Drosophila melanogaster: one gene and its partners. Changing the gene in region 4 together with the main gene of any one other region gives a genetic interaction. Each region holds a gene or a part of one and is shown on either strand. Other genes may lie near its edges. The genes, in order: elav, kra, RhoGEF64C and robo1.

Evidence for each region.
Region 1: of robo1 (region 4) and elav, changing one suppresses a phenotype caused by changing the other (phenotypic suppression), as found in Drosophila melanogaster (one study listed by BioGRID).
Region 2: of robo1 (region 4) and kra, changing one enhances a phenotype caused by changing the other (phenotypic enhancement), as found in Drosophila melanogaster (one study listed by BioGRID).
Region 3: of robo1 (region 4) and RhoGEF64C, changing one suppresses a phenotype caused by changing the other (phenotypic suppression), as found in Drosophila melanogaster (one study listed by BioGRID).

What each region holds. Positions count from the first base shown.
Region 1 is NC_004354.4:520,216-525,142, forward strand, and holds the start of elav (embryonic lethal abnormal vision), read right to left. Parts: upstream 3,012-4,927; 5' UTR 2,771-3,011; intron 1,482-2,770; 5' UTR 1,226-1,481; coding exon 1,225-1,225; intron 71-1,224; exon of another isoform or gene 1-70. UniProt on the Drosophila melanogaster protein: Required for the proper development and maintenance of neurons presumably by affecting RNA metabolism.
Region 2 is NT_033777.3:5,595,091-5,602,646, forward strand, and holds kra (krasavietz), read right to left. Parts: upstream 6,047-7,556; 5' UTR 5,925-6,046; intron 5,482-5,924; exon of another isoform or gene 4,948-5,481; intron 4,484-4,947; exon of another isoform or gene 4,275-4,483; 5' UTR 4,264-4,274; coding exon 4,026-4,263; intron 3,955-4,025; coding exon 3,854-3,954; intron 3,688-3,853; exon of another isoform or gene 3,548-3,687; intron 3,477-3,547; exon of another isoform or gene 3,333-3,476; intron 3,253-3,332; coding exon 3,114-3,252; intron 3,068-3,113; exon of another isoform or gene 2,925-3,067; intron 2,848-2,924; coding exon 2,682-2,847; intron 2,650-2,681; exon of another isoform or gene 2,506-2,649; intron 2,426-2,505; coding exon 2,182-2,425; intron 2,114-2,181; coding exon 1,771-2,113; intron 1,742-1,770; exon of another isoform or gene 1,607-1,741; intron 1,569-1,606; exon of another isoform or gene 1,436-1,568; intron 1,420-1,435; exon of another isoform or gene 1,270-1,419; intron 1,251-1,269; exon of another isoform or gene 1,111-1,250; intron 1,033-1,110; coding exon 995-1,032; 3' UTR 274-994; downstream 1-273. Other genes in the region: SecS (Sec synthetase), read left to right, coding at 6,466-6,579, 6,643-6,772, 6,824-7,556. UniProt on the Drosophila melanogaster protein: May be involved in memory formation.
Region 3 is NT_037436.4:4,691,070-4,695,803, reverse strand, and holds the start of RhoGEF64C (Rho guanine nucleotide exchange factor at 64C), read right to left. Parts: upstream 3,022-4,734; 5' UTR 2,399-3,021; intron 1,600-2,398; exon of another isoform or gene 1,482-1,599; coding exon of another isoform or gene 1,065-1,481; exon of another isoform or gene 959-1,064; intron 1-958. Other genes in the region: CG15876 (uncharacterized protein), read left to right, coding at 1,065-1,481.
Region 4 is NT_033778.4:22,697,927-22,702,736, reverse strand, and holds the start of robo1 (roundabout 1), read left to right. Parts: upstream 1-1,766; 5' UTR 1,767-1,859; intron 1,860-2,141; exon of another isoform or gene 2,142-2,540; intron 2,541-2,702; 5' UTR 2,703-2,784; coding exon 2,785-2,935; intron 2,936-3,002; coding exon 3,003-3,124; intron 3,125-3,360; coding exon 3,361-3,541; intron 3,542-3,652; coding exon 3,653-3,771; intron 3,772-3,831; coding exon 3,832-4,285; intron 4,286-4,345; coding exon 4,346-4,810. Other genes in the region: Obp59a (Odorant-binding protein 59a), read right to left, coding at 1-20; CG30259 (uncharacterized protein), read left to right, coding at 233-811, 868-1,293.

The DNA of each region.
Region 1 (4,927 bases), on a different chromosome or scaffold from region 4:
TAGGAAGTGGAGGTAGTGGAGCGAACGCGAGACCAGATCCGCTGCGTCACAGGAACAGGATGCTTCTGGGGCGAGCGCAGGACTTTCTGGCACTGCTGCGCGCTGTAGCTGCTCTTGCGTCCCTTCTCCCCCTCGTCTCCTTTCCGCAAATTACAGCGCTCTCTCCATAAGAGTGTGTCGCGCTGTGCACCCCGCCCAGTTATGTAATGCGGTGAACAGAGGGATGACCCAGAGGGTCAGGACATGCGAGAAACCAGCCCGCACCCCTTGAGAAAGCATCAAAACACCATAAATGAGCAATAGACGGTAGACCCACCCTTAGTCAAACAAGTTGTAATACTTCGCTTGGCGAAACGAAGCAAAACGAAACGTAGAACGGCATTTTCTCCAAATGTACGAGCGCCATTTGCCACCGATAAGGGTTAAAAGCACGGCATTGCCACCCCCTAAGCCGGCTCCGCCATTTACATGACACCTTGGTAAGGGGTGCGGACAGCAGAAACAGAGGCTTAGGCAGAGGGGGCGGCGAAGAGGCTGAGCAAGAGAGACAGAGGATGCTGCTCGGAACGAAACCAGCGAATGTGTTGGTTCACTGAACTAAGTGCGACAGAGAGAGGGGGCTGTCGCGAAAAGCGATCGCTGCGGAAATGGTAGCAATTTGATTTGCATATAGGGACTACAGCGGGTCTCGATATATATTTGAGCTTTAGTTAACGCATTCGACACTCCCAAAGTCGTGCTAAAAACTACATAGCTGGTTTGGACTGGTTAGCTGAGACTGAAAAGTTTTTAGTTGCTACTGTTTTTACTTTGGTGGATGCTTTTCTTAGTTTTTAATATCCTCTATTCTCATACATATGTATGTACCGACTCGCACCTTTTATTGAGGCGCTTATGGAAGAGTCAAAAGGTCACGCGCACGCACGTCGTCGTCCTGTACCACCCACTTTCGTCATGGCAAGCCAATTAGAGGCGGGTAACGATAACCCGAACTACAATACGGCAAGAAGGAGCTACTTGTCTAACATAGACATATGTACATGGATACACACATATATATATCAAATATAGCTAACCTCTTATGATTTAAATTAATTTTTTTTTTTAATATTCCGCATTAGTGGTTTGATTGTGTTGCCTTGACACGACACCGCACCCTTCGAAAGTTTTCTCTCTTTCGTCCTGCGATCTCGTCAGCTCGGCCCGTCGTCTTTCAATACTCACTTGTTTTAGTTTAGGGAGCGAGTATGTGTGTAGTTGGTTTTGGGGAGCTGGTTGGTTGTTGTTGTTGTTTGGCTGGACAAACAAAGCGAACTAATTGCTAAGTTCTCTTTGCAATCTCAAATCCTTGCGCGCGCGCTCTCACGGCGCTCCTCCTTGCTCTCTGCTTCGATTTTCTCCCACACTCTCTTCGGTTGTCCAGGACTTTGGTGTTTGTTGTAATGTAATCGTTTTTAATAAATAAACGCTGGCGTCGCCGTCTGATGTGGACAAAAACAAAAATAAAACAAAACTATAAGCGGTAAATTCGATGGGTTTGGTGGTTGTTGTTGTAGTTTTAGTTGTTCGTGTTTGCGGGCCTGTGTGTGTGCGTGCGATTGTTATCGCCAATCGATATTATCGATTTTACCCCATCCAAAGCATTGAATTCATATTTCACAGGCGATACAAAAAATATATCTGCGTGCAGATACGCATACATGTGGCGCAGCGAGAATACTTTGAGATGTTGGTAAAATTCTACTGAAGAGAGGTTATTTGGGCCTGTAGCAACCGCTCTTTACCTGCACCGATTTAGATATCGATGTTGTTGTTAGGAGGTGGGCGGAGGGGACTCAAACTTTGTATGGCTGATATTGTTTTTACAAGCACATATGTACACATAATAAATAAATACGCGTGTATATATCTACCTATTTCGAGCTCTCTTCCACACAAGCATAAACACAGACGACCACTGGGAAAAAAAAAACTAATTGTTGTCGTTTTTTGAGAAAAAACTCCTTTGCTGTGAATCGCGAATCCTCTATGTTTAATATTGCTACTACGACATGGGTCTGATTCATGCCTGCGTGCATTTGCTTTTATGGCAACCGGCGTTTTGTTGACTGCAAGTACTCCGCCACCCACACACACTCGCCCACCCTCTCCGCTGCGCTCAAAAAATGGCTACTTCTAACGGTTAGTTGGTCGTGTTCCTCCGTTTGTTGTTGCGTACAATGCTCCTTGCACATGAAATCATAAAATCGATATGCTAGCTGCGCCCTCTTCGGAACTGGCTCTCGCTCTAACACTCAGCGCTCTTCTCTCCCGCACACGCAAGCCCACACACACATACACACACAGATTTAAATTTGAGCAGCAAGTATTTACAGATACACAGCTCACAGAGGCGTAGATCTGAACACATCTACTATCTCCGCACTGGCCGCCCCCTCTCACTCTGACTAACCGCCGCCCATCTCTCCGCCACTCTCTTTGGGAGGTTCGCTTTTTCCTCCATCGAATTGCATATTGTTGTTTTGCCTATTAATATTCGTTTGAATGTATACAACTTACACACATCACACACCCACTAGCAAAAAAATAGATATAGGTACATATGGATATATGCAGACACGCGGATTATAAGTGAGTAAATTGCACAATTATGCAGCGCGACGCGATCATTAGCAAAAAAAAAGTACTGTTTCAAAGTTGTTGATTGATATTGTTATCATTGCCTTTCATTCAGTTGCACAAATTGTGGATATCCTGGGGATACTCTTACATTTCGCTCGGTGTGAGATGAGATTCCGGCCAATGGCTGTTGTCAGCTTCCAGTTATGGTTACTTCGGTTGGAGTCAACTCAACGGTTATTGTCATGCACTACTTAAAAAAAATCAATTGCGGAAAGAGCACACAAGCACGATATTTGGTATTCGATTAGAATTTTCCTTGCTTTTATTTTCTTTTTCTGTGGCAGGAGCGTTCAGACCGCGGCGCACGATGGTTGGCGTGGAAATGAAATAATGAAATGCGAAATTGAGGCATTGACGGTTTCGGTTTCCATTTTCACATAGAGCAACCTCTCATTCTCATATCTCATAGTTGCCTCTCGAGCAGCTCTCTCGGGGTTGCAATGGTGTTCGGAGCGAGAGTGGAAGGTAGAGAGCGAAAGAGTGGCGACATGGGCGTATCTGCGCGCCGAGATAGGGGGTTATTCCGGAAACCTTTAATATATTTTAATAGCTTTAATATATAGCCACCTAACATTTTACCTTAAGTTTTGTTTCTGTAAATACCACGTAGAAGTGGAGAAAGTTTTGTCTGATAAGAAACGAGTCTATAATCGTTGCAAAGTGGAATATTTCTAAGAACCCCTTTTGATACACCCCTGGCTTTCGGCTGCTCTCTCAGTGGTTTATGCTGTATTCAAAGTTTTTCATGCTTTTTGATACAAATTCAACCGATCAAAATGGAGGTTACCTTTCCCGAAGACAAGAGATAGATGGGGGAGAGAGCCAAGTTCTCTTGTCCAGTTAAGCAACTTAAAACCACTGGAGCAGCCCTAACTTACTTTGTAAAATTAACAAACTCATCTAGAACACATTGGTTTTATAGTTAACCCGATGTATGTATGCTTCATATGTATTTAGCTATGTATGCTTCATATGTACTTAGCGGCCCATTGGGCCTAGATAGCAGGAGCAATTGGAAATCATTGCAAAATGTTGGCTCTTTCCGACGAGGTCGTCAACCGTTTTATGATGCATGCGACCATTATCCTTACAAATCAGTCGCGTTGTAAGGGCTGTTTTGGGTTTATGGTTCCGTTTCCGTTATTATTATTTTTGCACTATCAACCACCAACGCCAAAGGCTAGGGTGGTTTCTCCTGGCAGTATTGCTCGTACACCCCCTACGAAGCGAAAGCCAGAAGCAAGGAACCGAGACCCAGGACCCATATCCAAGAGCCGGTATAGTTTTGAAGTAATGCAATTCTGGCTTTTTCAATATTTCCCTTCGTTTCGTTTCGCTTCGTTCGTGTGCTTCATTGCTCCTGTATTCGTTATTCGCGCCACTAGACACGCCACATAGTATGGTACATACATACATATATGTGTATATGTATGTATATGTATGCACATACTGTATGCCATATATCGCCATATATATGTAGCCACCCTCGGACACCCCCAATCCTTGTGAACTTCCTGTTCCCTGTGCTGATTTTTTCCTTCGCCTCTTCCAGTCGGACGCTCTGTTCCAGTTTACAGAACAATGTAAGGTACAGTGAAATCGCGTTGTGTGCAACTTTTTCACGAGAAGAATTTGGCTCGGTTTATAGTTGGGCATGTTATGAGGATATAAAGGACATAGAAAATTTTATCGGATTTCATTGTATGTTTTATGTACGCTGCACTGCACTTCGGGAATTGTAACGCAACTTTGGGCAGGGGGTGGTTTTTGATGTCCTTTCAAAGGGTGGTGCGCTGCTAGTGGCAACGGAAATGGGGTGGGGTGGCGCTATTGCTGCCCTCGAAAGATATGCGGATTCAGATTCAGACAGATCGACGTCGCAGAGAGTTTGGTTAGCATACAAATATGCAAATGCGATGCTTAAGTGGGGAATTGGCAAATTTCAATTAAAGGAATAGTTTGTTCGAAATGTTTCACTAATAACTCTTCACAGTCCTATTGGATCCATAATGGTATTTCAAGTTTGCGGCCACGTGCTGACCCCGTTTCATTCTGTCCACCCCAGAAATAGGCAATACGCTTTTTTAGTCATTTTTGGGAAAAGGATGTAATACAATGAGACTCGAAATCGAAAGGGTTGGGTCACATAATCCGTTTTAGCCACGCCAGAAACAAAACAAAAACAGCAAATGGCCTGCGTTACAACAAAGCGGGATTAAAAAGCAGGCACAACACGAGGTTACAA
Region 2 (7,556 bases), on a different chromosome or scaffold from region 4:
AAACTTGTAATATTTGTCACAAATGAATGACGACTAGATTTGGCCATGTCTGTAACAATAAACGTACAAAATATTCGAAGTTGCAGAAATGGGGATCCAGCATTCGGATTTGGTTTTTTGTCAAACTTTTAAATATAGAATCGGACCACATCTTTTTAAGACCTTAAAAAACTGATTTGAAGTTAGACCCCTCATAATGCCAACTAAATTTGTTAAACAAAAATATGCCCCTATATGCCAATCAAATTTAAATACAATGCTTTCTCAGCGTTTCAGTTAAATACTTTGGGTTGTTTAATGGTTTTATACGTATACATGTGCTAAGTCCATGTATCTTATATTTCGTAAATCCATAGATTTTGTTCGACGAAACTTTGCTAAATGATATTGATCTTTCAAATATAACTTGTTAATTTCCTTTCATCGCCGTGGCAAATCCTTCGAGAGTGAGTACTACTTGTTAAACGCATATATGAGGAAAATTTATTGATGAATAATGCGAACATGCAAACGGAACACATCCCCGAATTCACACAAAGCATCTCTGTGGTATCTCTTTTGGTTTTTTATTTGTTGCATCAACTCCGCGGAACTCCAGCTACCTCACTGCAGGTCGTAGTAGTCGACGTTATTGGCGGTCAGATGTTCTCTATTAATTTGGAGCGTGCTGCTGTTTCCACTTCAAACTTTTATTAACATATATAGTATGGGTTTGCCGGTATATTGCAAACGGGAACTAAGTGTAGATTCGTGAATGATATCAGACTGGACTGCAAACGTTTAGTTTCTAGCATGTTTTTTTTACTCTCTCCTTTATTTGTTGGAATTTTTGAGTTTTATATAGGTGGAGTTTTCAAAATGACATTAATTCATAGGGGTGAGTTTTATATATAGTTCGACTGGCTGTTGCAGGTGCTGGTTTCGAATTTTTGGATGGGGATGCTAAAGGGCGGCTCCGTTTGTGTTCATCCTCATTTAGCCATCAACCAAGTTCTTACTCGCCATTCTTTTGTTCGTCCTCAGATTCGGATTCTGAAAGAGAATAGAATACAAAATGTTAGTATGGGGGCTTCAATTGGTACAAACTGAAAAGATGTGCAGCTCCGGTTATGCTGTCCAAATGATTATTGGCCAAATTTAACTATGGAAAGTTATCTGGACACCCAACCATTCAAATGCTTTGGCACAACTCCCCGCTTGGCTCAATCGAATGAAGCAACCATTCGGAGCTTTTATGAGGGGATTGTGCATGCGGACTAGGACAAATGCAGCTGTCCAAACGATTATTGGCCAAATTAACCACGGCATTGGGTTATATGGGCACCCAATCATTCTTTCGCTTTTGCATACTGTACATGAACCCTTTAAAACTGGTTCCTAATAATGGGAACACTTTAAAAGCTTGGTAAGAAGCATGCTCGGTGAAGTCAGCTATTTGTGTCCAAGTTTTCATTGGCCTTTGATGCTCGGATTTTGTGAGGCAACAAGGCAAGCAAAAACTCAAATGCTCTTGCAATTTTGTACAATGAAAATGTCATCCAGGACAAGACCATTCTCAAAAAGTGCACTGTGTAAAGTTTCGAAGGAAGCAAAATTTGAATATTTATATTGTCCAGGTTTTCATTGGCCTACGTTGTTCAGTGAATGGAAATCAACGAGGCAAGCAAAAAACCCAAATTTCTCTTGCAATTACGTACCAGAATCAAGCTATTTAAGACAAGACCATTCTCAAAAATTGCACGCTGATAACATTTATCAAAACATACTAACCTTCTTCGGCTGACTGAAGCCATTCGACAAACTTTCGCATTTGTTCAAGGAAATGCATTTTGCCCTTGTTTGAGTGGCCCTCCTTGTACCAGCGCAAGATGATCTCCTCGGACAGGACCTCGGTCTTGTAGAACAACAAAATGATTTTCTGGAAGGCCTTCATGAAGTTCATGTTCTCGTAGCAGAATTCCTGCACCTTCAAGATTAGGGCCAATTCCGAACGGTCGGTCGAGGCGAAAGCCTGCAACAGTGGGCAGTAGTTCTTCAGATGACGAACAGCCTGATCGGTAACCAGCTCCTCCTTCTTGTTCCATTCGCCCAATGACATGATGGTGGACCAAATCTGGTAAAGATCATACATGAGATTTAGTAAGGAAATCATCCAGTTGGATTATTTACGCATCGACTTACAATAACAATTATTTCATGATCGGGAATGTTGGTGCGCTGCGAGAAGTCCTTAATGTCTGAGGTTATCTCATTATATGGCTTCTCATCGTTGATATCATCGATGAGCGCCTGCTGCAACTCACGCTTCGCCTCCTGGCTAGCCTGAGCCTTATGTAGCTTGACGATCTCGTTAAGTTCTTTGTCAAGAAAAACTTGTTTAAAATATTCCTCAGTACGTTTGTTCGGTGGGAAAAAGTCCATAAGTCTGGAAAAACGTGAAAAAGTGGAACCATTATTAATAATTTAAGTTAACGCATTCAATAATCAACCTTAAATGACGTATTGAGGTGTACGAAATTAAATCAGCACCCAAATGAAGCGAAAGGTCATTTGCGAATTGGGTAAAACTCCGTCGAACTTTCTTACTCTAGGAATATCAATTAAAGATGCACAACTGGATCATTGAGTCATCTTCCTGAGAACATTCCGGGGCTAAAAACAAATCACAACTAAAAACTTACTTGCTTTCCAGTCCACCCTTCTTAAGCGCCTGAATCAGATATGCAATGCCCTTCTCTTGCTTGAACGTCTGGAACAGCTCTAGTAGAAACTCCAATGCAATGCCATCCTTGATTAGGTGCTCGTTGTTTAGTACCAGTAAAACATTTGGCGGTACAGAACCGTTGACTGTTGATCAAAAATAGGGTTAAATATAGGGTTAGTCAAATGTTTTCGCAAAACAAGTTTAGACGGCCGGCTAGCAATCCTGTCCTTGGGCTCGTGGCCCTTAGATGTGGTTAGTTCATCCAAGAGTCAGTATACCAAGTGAAGGATTACTTTAGCCCCTCAGCTGCAAGTTGAACAAGTGTTTATCGAAACAACTAATTGAAAGACCGAATGGGCAGACGCAAGCAATGCACAGGAGGAACAGGAACATAAATGTTAAGACTTACCTAACCAGAGCGCTGTCATACGCGCAAGCTTGATGCGTTCACTAGGAGTAAAGCCCTTTACGAATAATAGAACCTTTCCCATCTCCTCTTCGAACATTTTCTCAAGGTACTTGTACCGTCTGATGAGCTTGACAAATACCTGGAAAAGGTAAAGTGTGATTGCCCCTGTTAGCGGATGGTGAAATTTTACTGTGTTCTCACGCAGGAGGCTTTTGTATTTGTTGTTGCAACATTAGAAATCTTTAGATTGCTGGCGGTAGTAATTTTACAAAATAAAGACAAGTAAAATGTGGCTTTTTATTTTGCATATTTTGACACCGATTGAGTTGTTGAGATGCATAACCGGTTCTAATAATATGCACTTTGATTCAATAGCGTGACCTTCGCAGTGGTTGCATGCATATAGTATATATATATAGTGTTGAATAAAGAGTAGTTGTTGACACATAAGAAATCTTCAGAACGTTAGTGTTTAGGACAAACCAAAGACAAGTAAATGTGTTGATTGTTATTGCATATTCTTGACACCGATTACATTTTTGAAACTTTATAGTCAGCTCTAATGATATGCAGCCACTTCACGAATTTCATACTTTTAAGTGGATCCGAAGAAAATCATTTAGTAGTAAATAAACGTTTTAGCTTGGAAAACAACAAGAGCTCAACTTGTGTTGCAATCAAACCAATTTTCGTTTACTCATAATCATAATTTAAGTATGACCTGCTAAAAGATTACAAACCTGCTCATGGTTGCGCATGCTCTCCATGCTCTCGGGCGCATCGAAGATGCAGTAGCTTGTGCGCGGCTTTTCGCCATCCTGAGATATAGAACCACCAGGCACTGCAATTGAAACGAGGATGGAAAAGGGTCAGTGAAGAGACTAAACACATTACTTGCAGCGGAAAACTTACCTAGTAGACCTCCTGCAATCAATATGTCAAAGAGAACTTCACCGTAGCGACGATAGTCGAGCTTGTTGCCCGCGCTGTCTAGATATTTAGAGATTTGTTCCAGGTCGCCTTCAGTTTTTTCGAGACCAGCAATGACCGCATCACGGAATCCCGTTGGGTCATATTTTTCTCTTTCATCTCTTTTTCTGGTCTTGATGCGTTGACCCGATAGCACTGGTCTTTCAGTTTTTTGACTCATACAATAAATTGCTGCAAAGGTAAATGTGGATCAGAGATGGAAGCGGTTTTGGTTTGCCCCTGTAAGTTTTTATTTCTGACCAGACTAAATTATCATGGCCACTAGATTCATTTTTAGATTTATCTTAATTTTAGTGTAAGATGACTAAGGTGGTCTCCAAGCGGTGGAAAACCGTTCCCTGTATATGTATTCTCGTTGCGCTCATAATCAAACTACAACATTTTCACCTATGACCGGCGTTTAAGTGGAAACTCTAGTGAAAACTGAGCCTAAGAAAGCCTTAACCTAAAAATGCCAGCGTACATGTGCTTTAAACACACACATTCAAGAGCGGAGAACGGGCACACTTCACATCTCTTTTTAATTATCTCTCTTTTTCACACACACATACCCACTGTGCATTTTACAGTTTGATAATGTCGACAAAAGAAATAAAAAGAATTGAGAGGTGAGGCGACCAAGAAATCGACATAGAAACGCAGAATAAAGTGAAATTTTGACGTGGTTACTTGTGTTAGGTAGCGCGCTGGGGAAATGAGGTCATTGTGCATGTAGTGCACATAAAAACGCGCCGATGACTGTGTGCTAGTTGGCCGGGAAAATTGTCATAGCAGCGAAAACGCAAAAATTAAATTATCTAGGCTATCAAGTACACATTGGTACATATAAGGAACGGCAACTTACGCTTTCACCCAAGGATATTAAGTCTGGCCCTGTGTTTGCCGCTTCCGCGTGTCCTTGCAATCAATTGAAATCAGTCGTGTGCGAGTGTAGTGTGTATGTGTGTGTGTGTGTGCCTGTTGCTTTTTCACAACTAACGAACGTGCGAGAATATGTAATTTAATTTAACCTCACGAAGCGCTGGCTGGTTAATGCTTCTCACTCGAGTCGACGAAAAACAAAGAGACAGATGGCAGATCCCTTCTTTTCTTACCTCTCTTTTCTTATGAGCGAGCTTTTGCACGGTAAAATTGACACGCACGCACACACACAACAACAAAGAAAAGGGGAGAGCAAATAGAAAATATAATTTTTTGTAACGGAATTTACTTTTATGCCTTCAAAATAAACGTTAACAATTTTGCTCAGACTACGTCCGGAATTCTATTTTTAACAGCTATCACAATCGGTTACTAGGTATATGTGTTGTTTGCCTCGAATCCAGCGCCCCTCTGCTCGCACCACTTTGTTAAACGAAATTCGGAGAGCGAATGAGACGACACACGAGCGCACGAACGAAGCGGACGAGCCGAGAACGAAGACATGTGGTTCGGCGCCATTTTGAAGCGATACACTGACATGGCGAAAGCGGAATGATGGGCACAGGGAAAACGAAAATTAGGGGGAAACGGTGAGAAAAAATGTGGGATGGGGGTTCAAAGTGTGTATATTGCTGTCGCGCTTATTAAATAATGAGCAAGGTACAGTCGAACAAAGGCCGACGGCCACCAAATGATTTTTTGCATGAATATATGACTGCCCGATGACTAATCTGGCCTTAGGTACGCACGCAGTTCGTACATAACCCCTTTTCCAACGAAAGCGCAGACAAAGGATTGGTCAAGGCCAGAGAAATGACCAGGACCGCGATTTTACTCGCCCTATTTGTCTTTCTGTGTACTTAGGTCTACTCTAGCGCTATTTTTCACTCCTATACTTACGATTAAAACAAAAAAATCTGTTTTGCTGCGAATAAAAGTAACTTTTTGCGTAGCTGTTGGGCTGCTTCTTCTGGATGACTTGCGGTATGACCGTGGCCTGCTTCGTACGCAATGGTACAGAGCTCACTAAGGTGTCCAAAAGGTGGCAACATTTTGGTGAAGCTGTTGGCTGGCCCCACTAACCGGACCTGAAAATGGTGCAGCGCTGCCGGACATTTAACGGAATCAAAGATTCCACAAAAGTCATGTTTGCATTAACAAAATTCATATTTAACCTTAACAAATTCAACAAATTAAGTTAAGTCCATTTTAGTAGCGTTGCGAGGAGTTTATTTTCGAAAATACGCCTTTGTATATATTATATATTTTTCCTCCACTTTAAACAAAATCGAAAGGTGTCCATTTGTCAGCTATTTAAACAATATGGCATCGCCGCCTTACTTGCTCAGTAAGAAAATTTAACTGTTTTTTTTTTGCGCACCTGAAAGCGGCGATAGACATTGTTTACTTTTAGTTTATATTTACATTATCCAAAAGCCAAATGAACTTTGAGCAGGTCAATATACCAGAGAAACTAGTGCCGGACAACTATTTGCAACTGGGACTGGCTGCGCAACGCAGTAAGCAGCGCAGTTTTAAGGAGCTGCTCGAAAAGGTAATCAAACCGAAATTAAACCCAAATTAATTGATAACTCCATGGATAATTCTTCTTTTCAAGCGAAAGCTTCCGAAAAATGGTTGGTCCGATGAACGTATCGAGGAGCTGGTGCACATGCTGGCTTCCTTGGACAGCAATAACTATCCACATAAGGTCGGTTTAGGAGAGCGGGAGGCGCGTATAGCCTGCAGTAAGTAAGGGATCAGGAGGCGATATCCCCCGTAATGAATTTGTCATTCAGAACTCGTGGCTCGCCGTCACTACAACTTCGGTCATGGTATCGGCAGATCTGGAGACTTACTAGAGGCACAACCCAAGGCAGCTGGCTCTACGCTGCTCGCTCGTCTCACAAACGCCCTGATTCTGGACCTTATTCGGGGAATCGGACTGCCCAGCTGTGCTGGCTGCTTTTTGGTGCCAATGTGTACAGGCATGACATTGACTTTGTGCCTGCAGAGTCTTCGCAAGCGGCGACCCGGGGCGCGGTATGTGCTCTGGTCCCGCATCGATCAGAAGTCCTGCTTCAAGGCCATCACAGCAACGGGCTTGGTGCCGGTAGTCATCCCCTGCCTTATTAAAGGAGAGTCCCTGAACACGAACGTAGATTTATTCCGAGAAAAGATAAAGTCATTGGGAGTGGATAGCATCCTCTGCCTGTACACTACCACCAGTTGTTTTGCTCCACGAAACAGCGATGACATTGCCGAAGTATCCAAGTTGTCCAAACAATGGCAGATTCCCCATCTGGTCAATAATGCCTATGGATTGCAGGCAAAGGAAATCGTTAATCAGTTGGAGTGCGCCAATCGAGTCGGACGCATTGATTACTTCGTTCAGAGCAGCGACAAGAATTTGCTGGTGCCAGTGGGTAGTGCCATTGTGGCCAGCTTCAATGAGAGTGTGCTCCACGATGTGGCCAGTACTTATGCTGGGAGAGCTAGTGGTTCCCAGTCACTAGATGTCTTGATGACGCT
Region 3 (4,734 bases), on a different chromosome or scaffold from region 4:
TCTAACCAGCCCACAGTAAATCGCTTTTATGACCAAGGGGGTTAAGACAAGGTCGCAGACATTCGTTCATAAATAAATATTTAACACGCAGTCCTTCACAAGTGGGTTGGTTGTCGGGCACAAAAAAAAAACAGGAGTAAGAGTAGACGAGTGCCACTTTGGGATTATATTTATCACTTCATGGCAACTCATTAAATATAAATGATTTTCATTTGCCGAGAGTTGAGAGGGAATTTATTTAGTTGCAGTGGGATTGGACTTAAAAGGCAAACTTTCGTACAATTTGAGCGTAATCCTTAAGCAATAAAAACAAGCATGTGACTTCAGAAAAGTTATTACATTTCATAGAGTAAATTAATTTTTTACAATTTATTATTCGTAAATGAATTAAAAAATCAAAATGATATATTTCATTTAATTGTTAATGAAACAACATATGAAAATATCTTTAAACTTCATAACCACTTTAACATAAATATTTTAATTTTAAATATTTTTGTGGGTTTTTACTTAAATTTCATTCAGCTGCATTTCTGCTACCTTAAATTTTATTTATTTCATTGATAACTTTTCCACCAGTTATCTAATCTAAGCTTAAAACGATTTGAACGCAATCCTCAGACACTTAGTCACCGTTTTAATCTTTTCCTTATCCCCATATTTATTCAGCGCCAGCTCAACTGAAATATCTTAAAGCAAAAGGTCAAGCCATAAACCATTTCCACCCCAGCAAATGCCGCGCAAGGTGAGCACTACCCACATGTGTGCAAGGAAGATGTACAGTATCTTTGGCCTGAGATGTCAACTTGGCAAGGGATCAAAAAAGGGAGGAAGGATCTCTGGTTTTACCGGAGCACTTCAGGTAATTACGCGACTCGTACAAGTCAGCAGGTCAGTCGGCGGGTCAACAGGTAGCTAAGCGCCCCAGATATAAATAATCCTGGTAAACCACGTAGGGACATCATTCACAGCTCAAGCTGCCAAGCAGTCACAGCTTGTCCTGTCGCAGCCAGCATTTTGAAGTCTATACAAAAAAAAACAACAAAGGAGCTATTCTATCTGAAATGGAAGCCCAACGTAACAACGCCAACCACCGACGCGGAGCTCGTCCGAGCGTGGGCTATCTACTTTTTCAGTACCAGAGCGAGCTGACCCGCCGTCATGCGGAACCCACGCGGCTGTCCCGCACCAAGATTCACATAATCGATGGACTGGTGTCCCGCACCATCCGCCACATGAAGCACTGCAGCATGGAGGATCTGAGGGCCTGCAAGAGGGAGCTCGTCTACAAGGAGCAGCTGCGCGATCAGCTCAAGAACATGCGACGCAAACGCTCCTCCTCCGTCAACAAAGTCGATGCTAGTGCCAACACATCCGCCCCCGTTGTGAGTGTCAAGGCGCCATGCACTCCACCGAAACCTCGATCCTCCACAGGAGAGTTCTCCAAGATGGACATCTTCGGACCGGAGATCTTCGTTTAAGTTTAACTTAATCTATTGCAATTTTAAATTTACTAGTTTCCTTAATTGTTGACGATTAAAAATCATTGAACATGAAGATTTCTTAAGAAAATTATTCAATAAATAAATATATAAAAGCAAAATGCCAAATGTTTTATTATTTACTTAATATGTTTTCCAATGGCTATTAACAATGCATTTAAATATGTAAATTGCTAAATTTGAACTAAGCCCGACGAATTCACTATTAAAAGGCAATAATCTGCGAAAATTCGAAAAAAAAAACCAAAATTACAACAACAAATGTGGCAATTACACAAAAATGTCAATTGTCCGCGGATTTGTTGTAGGAGTGGAAATTCCTGTTCTGTAAGCCTGTTTTTGGCTCTGTTTTTGCTAGCTAGCCAGGGCTAAAATGTGTGCCGCAAAATGCCAGGCCCGAACTCTGGGGCTCAAGAGTCAAGAGTTCCCACGGAGCGAGGCAGCATCGATCCATTGAAAATTGGCCACCACTCACCGATCTGTGATAGATGCGTCCGACCGAGAGAGCCAAGAAAAACAGAAAACCAGGCAGCAGACGGGCCAAGAATGCGGTTTAAAGTTCAATCGTGCAGCAAGTGTTATTTAGGGGTTCGCAGTGAGGCAGGAATATCGATCTATTCGGCGGTGAAAAACGTGAGATGCGATGATCTAACCGAAGCTTTCTTAGCCAGCCAAAACAGAAGCAGAAGTTATGAACCTGCGACCGAAGACAACTGATATGCAAATCGTCAGCGGGAGAAATGTATACTAATGAATATATTAACCAAATCAAGTTCTAAGCAGTTCAGATGTTTTCACAATTTACCTCATTAGCTTTATGCTCATTGGGGGGGATAATATCTATAGTTTGTTGGCATTATATTATTTTCTCGTTTATTAGAATGCATTTGCCTTACCTTTTTGGGTTTCTTCGGGGCCCAAATTAAACGTTGAAATATTCCACTTGCTGTACAAATTTGTTGCTTTCTATTTGCATATCGCTGGGTACAATAAATTATGAGCACAATGTTAACAGGCGAACAAATAGAAGAAGAACGTATACACCGAGTGACGTTTTTCCTTCTATATAGCGAGCACTCTCTTCTTTCTTTCTTATTTATTATATTTTCTACTTTTCGGCAAGCACATTCGAGTGAAATGCAGCTGCGACGGCTGCTCTGGTTGTAACTGTAGTTTAGACACAAACACGTTTTCTTGCGGCCAGCCCAGTAATTACGGCAAAGGCTATTTTAAGGCCTCAACCAAAAATAACGAAAGCCGATCCAAAAGCGAAGAAACCGAGAAATGCAATCGCCGAGCAAATGCAACGCGGCGAAATGGAACGAAAAAAGCGAGTTAAAAGCTAAAAAGCCAAAATGCAAATGGTAACACGCACACCGCGCACTAACACCTGCACAAACACACACAAAACGTTCGTTCTTCGGCGAAGAAGAATCGTGTTTATATATCACCGTTGGATTGCATATATCCAACAGATCGCGTCGCGTTTCGAGCTGCACGACGGTTAACTGACGAATGACCAAAAGTTTCAGCTGCCGGACAGCTTGGAGTTCGAAAAGTCCGCCGCTCTGAGTTCGAAAAGCAAAAACGAAGCAGATCGCGCGCGCTCTCTCTCTCTCTCTCTATTTTCATCTCCGATGATCGCAGTTCGTTGCCTGAGTCTTTCGACTCTGGCCGTTGTTTTTTTTTATTTGTGCTTAGAATCTTTAGTCTGTTGTTGCCGTTGATTTATTGTCCAAAAATAACTGTTTTTTCATTGTGCATTGAACTTATGAGGAAACGAGAGAGTAAGAAAAGCACAAAATTATTTTATTATCGATTTTTTGATGACACACTTCCCCGAAAGATTTGGGTTTTCGGATGTTCTTTCTGTTATTTAGATCTGACAGATCTTTTGATCTCTGCTCTACGATTCGGCTTTAACTTTCGCTACTCGACGCTCTCGTTTGCTCAAAGACTTTTACTCTCTAGCCCAGCGCAATTACGATTGCAGCTCTCACTGCTCTCACTCGAAGTTTTGTTTTCGGACTTAGCTCTGAATTCGCTCTGTTTACTCCAGAAATTACCACCTACTGCGGTCTCGCTCACTCGCAGGGCGGCTTAGAGACGCCTCAGCTTTTTTTGGTCTATCCAACTTCGAATGACTTCTTAACGGTTCGGTACTTAATGCCTCGCTTTTTTTTACACTGATAGAATATTTTAACGTGAGCCTAAGTGATAATTAAGGCAATCATTTTTAATACATAAAGATTAAGAAAACTGTATAATTTCTAATTTATATAATAAACAAAATAATAATAAACATATTTCACAAAATCACAAATACATTGTTGTTTGTTTTTTCGTATATTGGAAAAGGCTGTAAATCAATATGCACAGATAATAAAATGTACTTATTCATCAACCAGCTCCCAATAATTTTTTATGTCCGAGAACTTTATGGCTAAGTTATCCATTTTTTTCAGTGTGCTAGTTAGTTTTTTGTCATTACTGGGCTCTCACACAGGGCGCTGGAACTGCAGCTGTTATTGTCATTTTCCTTTTAGCAACAGCTTCACCTCAACTTAGTTTGGTTCAGCTCGCTTCGCTTGAGCGTAAATTTCTGAGGTTTCCAGGCTATTCTTTTGGATACCATAATGCTGCCGCTCCTCCGCACCTTCTCCTTGGGCCATTATCAGCATTGTCATCGTTGTCGCTGTGTCGTTTGCTTTTTGCGATTTTTCTTTCAGCTTTTCACAGTTTTTCCTGCCCCATGCCTTCCACGCTTGTAGGGCTGCTCTGCTGCTGGATCTGCCATATATAGCTATATATGTCTATATATATATATTTACCACAACTGAAACCGCAGCAGTTGGCCGCCGATATGATCTGATTTATTGTAGTTTCCCGACTTCTTGTTGTTGCCGTCGTCTGTTAAAATATTTATTTACAATTTTCACAATTGGCATTTCAGTTCAGCGAGCTTGTCTCTGATTGTTTGATTGCATTGTGCCATTGTTATTGTTGCTGTTGCATTTGCTGCAGACTGTTGCCCCACTTTTACTTATGCACATAAATAATTAGAGTATTTATGTTGTAAACTGCTTGATAACAACATTTGCATCGTTAGCCAAGTTAGCACAAGTACGCCTCAAGTTTTAGGGAATTCTGAGTATGTTTATCTTAATTTGCCAAATGTTCCTCGATAACACTATTGATATTCGAGTACTAAGAGTGATTGCAACAATCAAAG
Region 4 (4,810 bases):
AGGAAAATCAACTGTTTCATCTTGGGAACTGAATGGAGGAGCAGCTATGCCCACATCATTTATAGTTCTGGAGAATGGCATCCAAATTACAGAGTGACTGACGCACAATGAACCAAGACACATATCAATCTTAATTTTACAATTGCGTGCAATGCTCTTCGATGATTATATTTTACAATAAAGGTTATTTTAAAAGTTTATGAAAACATGTTAAATTGAACCCCACTTCCAGATGCAACTACAGCTGGAGCAGATCACCTCCAGAGGTGAAGCTCGATTGGAGAAGCTGTGGCAGGAGTATCAGGGTGTTCTGGCGGGCTACTGTCAGCACATCGAAGGCTTTTACTCGGAGTACGTGGATCTGAAGCAGCGGGATGAGGAGGCAGCCCTCCAGATTAGCCAGCAGACCCACGAAATCGAGCACCTGGTAGACCAGCTGACCAATTTGCGTCTGGTCTCCGAGGAGTTCTACATCAAGCAACAGGGCCAACTGGAGCAGCGGCAAGCCATCAAACAGCAGTTGACCGAGCGACTAAGGGAGCTACGCACCTGTGTGGAACAGGAGGTGGCCAGGGATCACCAGTTGTTCAAGCTGATGTCCGTGGAGAGCTACCATGCCTTGGAATTCCTCCAGGAAACTGTGGCCAAGGGCGAGACTCTGGCACAGTTGTCTGCGGTCTGTGCCAAGATGGAAACCCAGCGGGAGCGGATGTTCCAGTTGCCGGAAATATCCAAGGAGATTATCGAGATTCGAGATATAGAGGATCAGGGTAATGGTTCCTTGACTGACCCAGCCACTGATCTTCTTAAGGTGAGTAAAAATGCCAGTAGGTAATTTCTTCATTCAACATTGGTTTAACGTACCAGGACGAGGTGGCAGTGGTACCCCAAATGGAGTCCTTCTGGCGACGCGTCAACAACGTGGCCGTGGACGTGGCCTGCCTGAAGCAACAGAAGCGTCGCCTGGAGGCGGAGAACAGCCAGCTAAAGACGCAGCTGCAGGACTACCTGGTAAATTTGAACATTGCCAATGGCTCCAATAGCCACGTCCATAGCTATCTAGCCCGGCGGCCCAAGAGCATGTCCGTGGACAGAGTGTCGCGCCTGCAGCTCCAGCCCAAGCTGGTGAAGAGTGCCCAGCCGACTGGTCGTCGCCCAGCGGCGCCCACACCTCCCACTTTCCACTTGCATCCAGGACGCAGCCGAGCGCCTGCCTTCGAAGCCAACCTCTCCAACGTGGTTCTTTCGAGGACTTTGGCTAGGGGAAAGATGAACCTGGCCAGAATGGAATAATTTGCTAGACTCTGTAGTTATTTGATTAATGCAGGGAAACTATATTAAACAAAACACCTTAAATTGGTGTAGGAACTATTCTCTACCATAACAATTATCTATATATTTTTATAGTATTTTACAGTTGGTTCTACCGTGAACATGAATATTAATATATACGTATTTAAGCAATCACACACAAATTATATAGATATTCTGAATAAAACGGAATTTTTTAATAAACCATTCAACATCACAATACATACATTAATTTAAATATTTACATTTTATTAATATCTTAAAACATAGTTGGTATATCTTTCGATTTCAATTTCAATACAATAGAAATCAATTAAAGATTCAAATAGTTACTTTACGCGGCGCTACCAGATCAACTGATAAATATGTCCTCTGGTATTTTCGAGTATTCCTTTTCGGTACACCCCAAAATATATCGATATATCGATTCCGGGCGTTGCGCTCTCAAATTTCCACAGACACGACCCACGTCCAATTGTGAGTTTTCGCTGCGCCGTGAATCGCACTAAAGAGCAGGAAAATAGTTAATTTCCAACAGTTAAATTGGAGTAAGTTTGCACCCAAGAAAGTACGATCCAACCGCGAAGCTTCCATTTGAAGTAGATACTCGTTTTCGGATATTACAAAGTGCAGCTGCTGCGGATGTAAAGCAAATATTACAAGGAGTTATAGATACAACACTCTGTTATAGATATAGATACAACAACAACGGGGGGAAGTCCCAGGAACGGCAGGCGGTGCGAGCGAGAGGCAGCTAGAACGGCAGTGTGTGCGAGTGAGAGGGGTGGCGGGGCAGTTCTTGTTCTTGTAATTTTACCAAAAAGAAATTTCGTTCGGGAAATGTGGAAAATGTGCGCGAGGAGAGATGATGGAGAAAACAACCCCGAAAAGCGAGCAATCGTCGAATAAATACCAACAAAAACTTACACTGCGCGGCTGATTAATAAAATCCAAAAAATAAAAAGGAAAATAAAAACCAAATCAGCGAACGATACAAAAAAAGCGTTAGAAAGAAAGTGTGAGAACGTGAAATCAAAACTCCGAATCAGAATTTGGATTGTAAATTTTCGGGTCGGTGCGACTGAGACTGAGCGATAAACACAAAGGCAGATAAATACGGAAATAAAATTAATGGAAAACCAGCATAGACACATGTGTGTGGGTGTGTGAGTGTCCAAGTGTGCGTGAGTGTGTGCGTGTGTGTGTGCTTATCGCATGGAAATGCAAGCGTAAGTGGAGCAGGCGAGAAATAATTTCGAGTTTTTGGACAGATAAAAAGCAAAAAGCAAGTAAAGCCCATAAATGCCTAGCCATAATGCCGCCACGCCTACATATGTAACAGCTGCCCACATTTAGTTAACCCACATACTATCACCTATCATGCATCGCAGGACCCAAAAACAACGCCAAAATGATCGCCGCTGCATTGGGTCATCTGTAGAGTCGTCATTGCAACAGCACCAACACCATAAAATGCATCCCATGCATCCCGAAAACCACGCCATCGCCCGGAGCACGAGCACCACTAATAACCCATCTCGCAGTCGGAGCAGCAGGATGTGGCTCCTGCCCGCCTGGCTGCTCCTCGTCCTGGTGGCCAGCAATGGCCTGCCAGCAGTCAGAGGTAAACCCATCCTGGGTAATCCTCCCCAGGCCCAGTGGCTAATCCACATCCTTCCTACTCCTTTCAGGCCAGTACCAATCGCCACGTATCATCGAGCATCCCACGGATCTGGTCGTTAAGAAGAATGAACCCGCCACGCTCAACTGCAAAGTGGAGGGCAAGCCGGAACCCACCATTGAGTGGTTTAAGGTACCCACCAAATAATACTTTTCTAACTTGAATCACCATTACACTGGCAAAAGAAAACTTGATCTTAATGTTTTCATATCAATATTGTATATTTATTTATCTTTAAATATCAAAACAAAAATGAATTCAAAAATTATACAAAATATAAGTGGTTTTGAGTAGTTGTTTTTTTCCGTGTAGCCTTCGAAACCGAACCAAATCGTAACTCAATCACCCCCTCTTCTTTCCGCTCTCAGGATGGCGAACCCGTCAGCACCAACGAAAAGAAATCGCACCGCGTCCAGTTCAAGGACGGCGCCCTCTTCTTCTACAGGACAATGCAGGGCAAGAAGGAACAGGACGGCGGAGAGTACTGGTGCGTGGCCAAGAACCGAGTGGGCCAGGCCGTTAGTCGCCATGCCTCGCTCCAGATAGCTGGTAAGTTAGTCCGCCACTCTAGTCTGCTCTCCAACTTGTCTGCCCACACGCCCAGCTTTGTCTCCGATTATAATGTGCTTTTTTGATATTTTTGCAATTTTTCTTCGCTAGTTTTGCGCGACGATTTTCGCGTGGAGCCCAAAGACACGCGAGTGGCCAAAGGCGAGACGGCTCTGCTGGAGTGTGGGCCGCCCAAAGGCATTCCAGAGCCAACGCTGATTTGGATAAAGGTGGGTTCCGAAAACCAGACTGCGAAAGTCAGTTGTCTAAACCGCTTTTTGTGCTCTTAGGACGGCGTTCCCTTGGACGACCTGAAAGCCATGTCGTTTGGCGCCAGCTCCCGCGTTCGAATTGTGGACGGTGGCAACCTGCTGATCAGCAATGTGGAGCCCATTGATGAGGGCAACTACAAGTGCATTGCCCAGAATCTGGTAGGCACCCGCGAGAGCAGCTATGCCAAGCTGATTGTCCAGGTCAAACCATACTTTATGAAGGAGCCCAAGGATCAGGTGATGCTCTACGGCCAGACAGCCACTTTCCACTGCTCAGTGGGCGGTGATCCGCCGCCGAAAGTGTTGTGGAAAAAGGAGGAGGGCAATATTCCGGTGTCCAGAGCGCGAATCCTTCACGACGAGAAAAGTTTAGAGATATCCAACATAACGCCCACCGATGAGGGCACCTATGTCTGCGAGGCACACAACAATGTCGGTCAGATCAGCGCTAGGGCTTCTCTTATAGTCCATGGTAAGATTAAGTTCCATTACCAAAGAATCGCGTTTTAATCTTCAATTGTTTTCATTAAAGCTCCGCCGAACTTTACGAAAAGACCCAGTAACAAGAAAGTGGGACTAAATGGTGTTGTCCAACTACCTTGCATGGCCTCCGGAAACCCACCGCCATCTGTTTTCTGGACCAAGGAAGGAGTATCCACTCTCATGTTCCCAAATAGTTCGCACGGGAGGCAGCATGTGGCTGCCGATGGAACTCTGCAGATTACGGATGTGCGGCAGGAAGACGAAGGCTACTATGTGTGTTCCGCTTTCAGTGTAGTCGATTCCTCTACAGTACGGGTTTTCCTGCAAGTCAGCTCGTTAGACGAGCGTCCACCTCCGATTATTCAAATCGGACCTGCCAATCAAACACTGCCCAAGGGATCAGTTGCTACTTTACCCTGTCGGGCCACCGGAAATCCCAGTCCCCGTATTAAGTGGTTCCACGATGGACATGCCGTACAAGCGGGCAATCGATACAGCATCATCCAAGGAAGCT